Bombyx mori: one gene and its partner. The protein of the gene in region 1 binds, or shares a complex with, the protein of each later gene. Links are inferred from orthologs where the notes say so. Each region holds a gene or a part of one and is shown in the gene's direction. Other genes may lie near its edges.

The links. Proteins that work in one complex are often made in the same cells at the same time.
Region 2: Rrp40 (region 1) and exosome complex component RRP46 share a complex: the UniProt entries of both Homo sapiens proteins name them as parts of the RNA exosome core complex. The link is inferred for Bombyx mori from reciprocal best matches to the Homo sapiens genes EXOSC3 and EXOSC5.

What each region holds. Positions count from the first base shown.
Region 1 is NC_085114.1:14,716,173-14,718,990, forward strand, and holds Rrp40 (exosome complex exonuclease Rrp40), read left to right. Parts: upstream 1-1,300; 5' UTR 1,301-1,379; coding exon 1,380-2,090; 3' UTR 2,091-2,113; downstream 2,114-2,818. Other genes in the region: probable RNA 3'-terminal phosphate cyclase-like protein, read right to left, coding at 1-46, 509-800. UniProt on the Homo sapiens protein: Non-catalytic component of the RNA exosome complex which has 3'->5' exoribonuclease activity and participates in a multitude of cellular RNA processing and degradation events.
Region 2 is NC_085131.1:1,264,021-1,268,370, forward strand, and holds the start of exosome complex component RRP46, read left to right. Parts: upstream 1-1,343; 5' UTR 1,344-1,381; intron 1,382-1,387; exon of another isoform or gene 1,388-1,461; 5' UTR 1,462-1,538; coding exon 1,539-1,641; intron 1,642-1,864; coding exon 1,865-1,991; intron 1,992-2,610; coding exon 2,611-2,719; intron 2,720-4,350. UniProt on the Homo sapiens protein: Non-catalytic component of the RNA exosome complex which has 3'->5' exoribonuclease activity and participates in a multitude of cellular RNA processing and degradation events.

The sequences.
Region 1 (2,818 bases):
TCCTTACAGAATGGTCCCAGGGCTAGTAGAACTTCAAGATAATAACCTAAAAAGGTTATTTTTTAATTTCAATTTGTCAGTCCGAGGATGAACATAACAGGAAGTATTTAAATGCTGAGTTAATGTTCAGACCATGGTATGGTTTGATTTAGTTTAGATAGTTACATCAGTCAAGCTGATGTCACTAAAACTACTTTCAAAAACAACCAAGGCGTCCTCACTCTGTCAAAACTTATTTTAGTATTTAAACTGGACTCTCCTAGACGGTTGCATGCCTGACAAAAGATTTATTATCCCATCCTATAGTATATATTAACAATATTTATTATGTCCATGCCTTGCTCCACTGAACTAGACTCTCCATGCTTTTAGCTATCAGGAGAATGTGTATGCTGAATTGTCTGAATTTCCAGCTGTAATCAAACTAATATATAATCTTCTAATTTAGAAAACTACATTCCTAATAACGTATTTGACGTGAGTAGAAACTTTATTGAAGACCACTTACCTATCCCTCTCTGGGTACAACAGTTGTGATTAACTTGTCCACCAATCAGTATACCAGGCTGGTAATATACTGAAGTACCGGTTTCGCTCAGCTCGACTCTAGTACCGTTCGTCACTTTATCCAGTAGCCGAATTAAACTGACTTCATATTCCCGAAGACCCGGGTCATCGTTGGTACTGCGAATGTCTTCTATTTTAATAGCACGCCCACTGAGAGTCGAAAGTAGCAATCTTTGACGAAAGTAATTGCTGCCCTTGTATTTTATTACGTCATTTTCAATTACTGCGGGCATTTTAATATAACTAATACTCCGAATTAGTTTTTCGGTGATATGTAAACAGCGAACATGTGCAAACCTCTAGGCACTGCGAGTTAGTCAACTGTCAAAAGTGTCAAAGTAATAGCAATAGTTGTATTTTTTCATCTAGAAAGGCAAAAGTATCAGACCATATACTATCTTTTAAATATTGTGGTATATTTCTATAGAAAATGATGTGGATGAATGAAATGAAGTGAAGTTAGTTTATTTGACTATGATTACGCAGCTTTCCTAGACATATTATGGTATTCTGTGATGGAACCTAAAGTCAGCATTATTTCAATGGATATCAGAATTACATACATGGGTACTGGTTTCGGCTCAACACATTTAATGTTATCATTACTTAATTTTATTTCCTTCGCCTAAATTTCATTTTTCATACAACAATTAAATGCATAAGATTTAACTGGTAGGTACCTATGCGCTATGTTTTCTTTGCCTATTGGATGGACCAATCAAATCAAATAAACATTGCTGTTTTAGAGGTTAGGGCTTTGTATTTATTTGTGTGTTCATTTATAATTCTCACTAAAATAGAACAAAAATATCATGAACGTTTCAATAGATGATGTAGTTTTACCTGGAGATCACTGTCCAGAGATCGTGGCGGCTGGCGAAAAAGGAAAAGTTCTACTAGGTCCTGGACTTCGCAAAGAAATTAACGGTGTTTTTATAACAAAACCAGGCGTATTACGGAAACGAACACCAAATACATACTGGGTGGACAATTATCAGAAGCGCTATGTGCCTTCTAGAGGTGAAAATGTGATCGGTACCGTGGTACAGAAAGCGGGCGATATTTTCCGTGTGGACGTCGGGGGGAGTTGTGCCGCATCGCTGTCATATCTGTCGTTCGAAGGAGCGACGAAGAAAAACCGTCCCGCAATCAAAACAGGCGATGTTGTGTACGCGAAAATGTTAAACGCAAGCAAAGATATGGAACCAGAGCTTGTGTGCGTTGATTCGCATGGAAAAAAAGGCCGACTAGGAGTATTAGAAGAAGGATTCGTATTCAAATGCTCTTTGAATTTAATCAGAAAAATATTAAACCCACATTGTCCATTATTGAACTCATTAAAGAACGAATGGCCATTTGAATTAGCAGCTGGCATGAATGGAAGGATTTGGATCAAAGCAAACACTATGAGAGAGACATTGGCTCTAGGAAACGCGATTTTGGGCTCAGAATATTTGAGTAACGATGAAATTAAAAGTATGTGTAAGAACATAGCAGTTTTACTCGCAGGTCATGTAAGCTAAAATAAATGAAAAACCTTATTAAAGAAATTTGTTTTCTTTTTAAGAAACTTAAATCATTTAGAAAATCTTCAATTAAGAAAATTTAAAGGTTTCATGTTCTGGGTCCCAGAAAAACCATTTGAAAGGAAAACATTTATAAAGTTATAATATCATACAGAATTTTCACATGTTCAATTTCTAGTGGTGAAAGGAAGTCAGCTCTCAGATTGAACATAAATGAGAGAACCCCCTAGGGAATCCATTTACGGATACCCAGTCGAATTGAGAAAAAAATTCAATGAGAGAACCTGACTAATGTTCAATTGACATTTTGCATATATGTAGACTACAAGCAGATCCCGTAAAGGAAACAAAACTAAAACAGTGATGGAAATTTTATTTTGGCAAATGCTAATCTAATTTTGAAATCTCAATACATAATGAAAACTGCTATGGACATGTATTCAGGACATGTAGCATTCCAATACTTATGACATAAATACATTTCATATTAAATTTGAACAAAGCCACAATATATACATAATACCAAAGTCTTCGTACAGGTTTTTATTTTTTTTGCTGTTTATTTTAAAAGATTTTACACTTCAGAACTCTTTAAAAATGTAGTCACAGAATCAAACAATATTTACATTATCATCGGAACACTTTAATTATAATTTAAGACTAATTTAACTATATTTTCTTATGTAAATTCAACAAACTTGAGTTGGTCGTTCAGCAAAAATAAT
Region 2 (4,350 bases), on another chromosome or scaffold:
TATCCTTAGCTAGTAGCAATAAATAACTACAATATTGTGCACAAATTTTAGAATATATTATGAAGCCTATTAAATAAACGTAACTTTTTTGGTGGTAATTTACAAGTATGTTTAACGGTTTCTTCTTTGTACTTTAGATCTGTACTACTGCTAAGTCCTTGTTGTAAGAAAAAAATGAAAATACCCTTCTCGGGAAGAAATATCGGGCGAGTTTGAATAGCTAATACAAGATTTTCGTAATGACTGTTCCAGTAAACACATAACATAGCTCCCTTCAATAAAATCAGGCTTCCTGGTGGAAGTTAATAACTCGTAGAGTGCTAGTAAAGCTTTTCTGCAGAACGCTACTTCTCCTGTGTTTGTTCTTGTTAAGTTGAGTCATTTATTTAAACTAGTACACTATTATGATTGTATTTTATACTTCTTTACAAATTTCGCCAAGACTACACTTTAAAAAATATTAACAAAGACAAACAATATTTAATCTATTCTCAATTTGACAACAAAAAGAACAAAAGTTTAACAATAAATAATATGCATGCGTGTGTGCGTCAAATACATGGTATGTAGTGTGTGTAATGTTTTCTTTATTGATTTAATGTATCTTTTATGCATTATTTTAAAAAAGATTAGCATTGTGCACTTCTTCTCTATATTCTCTATAAGTGTGGAAAACTTCATACTCCTCCTTCCGCGCAATTTTCGTAAAAAGGGATACACAGTTTTTGCTTCACGTATTAATATATAGATCTCGAAGATAGAGATTTTTTTTCAAAAAACTTAAAATATTGAGCACACTGAAAAAAGTACTAAATTGGGATAATGATTCAGTTTTTAAAGATGAAAGATTATGATGAGTTGGAACCTACTCTTGCCGATAAGGGCGTTGTGTCAACTCAACTTTAAAAAACTCAGACTAAGGACAATGTACCTAAATAGATAATTATGTACTCCTATTTTGGACTTTTTGGCGGGAACGCGAGTAGCAAAGTTGTGAGAATAGTTTTATTTTGTTAATTTAATGTTTCTTCATGTTTAAACATGTACTAATGGATGTTTATGAACTGTTTAGTATCTGGGAAAGTGCATAAATTTAGGTAAATAAAACAAAGTCACCGGACGTTGATCCTCGGGATCTTCCAAACAGTCCACTGAAATAGTCTTAATAAGTCTTAGTTTTAATTTAATTCCAATTAATTAATGTTTGAAATTAATCAACCTAATTTCATTTCATTTTCATATCGTCTTCATAAAATAGAATTTACAAAAGATTAGGCTGTATGTTTCAATAGCTTTGCCCTTCTGGTTGTAAAAAACAAACGAATACTACTGTCAATGTCATTCTCACATGTTTTCTCAATGAAGTAGGAAACCTATATAGGTATATATACTATATAGGTCTATGTGTTTTCTATATTTTTCTTGTTATTAAAATAAATAAAGATCATCTTTGAATTTTAGAAAATCAGAAACCCAATTAGCAATCAAGTTTCATTGTACTACTTCAAGATATATTTAAACATTTGAACGAATTAAATATGGTGACTGATATGAAGGATGTACAGGATTTTAAATTAAAACCTATGAAATGTGAATTCAACTTCCTGAGCAAATCTGATGGATCAGCTATTTTATCACAAGGTAAAAACAGTTTTATGCCCTATAATCTAGCTGTGGTCATTTTACCGAAACTCTTAATTTAGGTACAACATGTTAAATAATAATTTAGTATTTTTACAAAAAATAAGTAGAACAGTAAGATTTTACGAACATTCAAAGTTCATCGTCTTAAAAAGTACAACAATGTTAATTAAAACTTCTTGGACAGAAAATCGTTCATCAAAGCTTGTAAATATTTTTACAGGGGATACTGTATCATTGGTGAGCGTAAATGGACCTTTAGATATAAAGATGACCAGTCAACGAATAGATAAGTCAACTCTTGAGGTTTTGTTCAGTAATAAGAATGGGAAACCGAGCGTGGAAAACAGGTAATGTATTAGAGCTATATGGCTATTGGAAATTAATTTAATAACAATATTTGCTTGTCAGTGGTCATTTGTATAATAATAGATGAAATCCACCGTTCGGTTTTGGAATGAACTACCCTCTGTGGTGTTTCCCAAGCGTTATGACATGTCCTTCTTCAAACGAGGCTTCTTTGAGAGTACATAATGGCATGTAGCTGCTTGGCTTTGCCCCTAACATTGACGTTGGCGTGAGCGAATGTAACCACTTACCATTAGGAGGGTCATATGTCTACAAAAAACATAAATTTGGTTGTCATTAATGAATGTATTGTTTAAACATTACTAGATACAACAGAGTTCAATATGGCAGATACACAACTTATTGATATTCTTGCTTGATCTTCTAAGTGAGTCACTTTTCTGACATGGTAGATTCAGCAAAGCACTGCGACTCTGTTAGGGTAGACATTAACAAAGTGATTGAGGTTGATCCCCATAAGTCTTCCACCAGTCTCTGTTGATGCTTCATGAAAGGTTTCTCAAAGAAACATCTGTAAGTGATGTTAAATTGTGGAATATTTTCAAGAAATAGGTGTTACAGTCGATTGTTGAATTGTAATCATATTACATGTTATTACAGATACAAAGAGAATATAGTGAAACAGACATGTGAAGCAGCAATACTTGGTTCTCTGTATCCTAGAACTGGTATAAATGTTACTATACAGGAACTAGAAGATTATGGTGGTGTGAGTACTGATTTGTATTTAACGAGGGTGAATTGGAATTGTTCCTAAAAATGAAGATTGGTGGTATTGGAAGTACTGGTGATTAATGATCTATCTGCTTCTAGCATGGAGCAGTTATGATCTGCCTATTGCTTTTAAGTGGGGGTAGTTCTTCACTCTCAAGCTTTCTACACATGCTTCAGGCTTGTAAACAAAAATAATGAAAAAAAAAAACGAAAATTGTTTTAATTGATATAGATAATGTTTTCTGTTAATTTCACAGATCATTTGATGAGCTCAACCGATGTAAAGTGGTTACCAGATTTCAATATGCTACATATTTAATAGTGGCCAAATTATTTTTATTATTAAATGTCAATGTATTATTAAATTGTGAATTTATTATTAACTAGCTGACCCGGCAGACTTCGTAGTGCCTCAATCGATAAATAAAAGACCTAAACTTTTGTATAAAATAAACTTAAAACAAACAAAAGGAATCCGTCCGACGCGGGACACAACAAAGGAAAAACAAAATTGTTATTTTTATTTAGTTCCGAGCATTTTCATATTTATTTACCTTTCAAACCTTCTCTGGACTTCCACGAATCATTCAAGACCAAAATTAGCCAAATCGGTCCAGCCGTTATCGAGCTTTAGCGAGACTAACGAACAGCAATTCATTTATATATGTACTAGCTTTTGCCCGCGACTTCGTCCGCGTGGAATAGTTCACGAATAATACAGGGTGGCCCATAAGTCCTTTGATATGAAAAAAAAATTATTAAAATAAAACTAATTACATTATGAATTAAATTTTTATTTACATAAAAAGCTTAAAAAACGGGAATTATTTTTTGAAAATAACATCTCCTAAATGTAATCCGTTGCGAACACGGCACTCTTGCAAACGACGTCTAAAATTGTCGATGACTGCGCGGCACGTCACTGCTGAAATGCTTGTCATTTCTCTGCGGATGTTTTCTTTTAGGGCCTCAATCGACCGCGGGTTTGTGTCGTATACTTTAGCCTTAAGGTAGCCCCACAAAAAAAAATCCATCGGGGTCAGATCTCGACTACGTGGAGGCCAGGAAATGTCTCCTCTCTTAGAGATAACTTTGCCAGGAAAAAGTTGACGGATAACGGGCATAGCAGTGTTAGAGGTGTGAGAAGTGGCCCCATCCTGTTGAAACCACGTCCTGGCATGTAAATCTTTCTTCAAAATCCGTTGTAACGATGTCCTGGATACGTTTAATGCTCTGGCGCGCTTACGAGTTGACTGTGTCGGATTTTCGCGAATAGACTGTGTCACTGTGTCTATGTTTTGTTCCGTACGTGACGTCCTTGGGCGACCCAACCGCGGTTTATCTAACGTCGAACCGGTCTCCTCGAACTTAGCAACCCAGTTCTTAATCGTTTGAAGAGTTGGAGTGTCGTCAAAGTTGTGTAAACCTTTGTGTTCTCGAAATTTACGCCGCGCAACGGTTGCCGAATTGTCGTTTTTATAAAACTCGCGCACATAAAACGCACGGTCCGCTCCGGTAAAACGCTCCATCGCGACTAAATTCCCAGAAACCGAAGTTACTCCCCCCGCTTCCCCTGCACCGCTCACGCGCGCCCTGTTCGTTTTATTCAAATTTTACTTTTCAAAG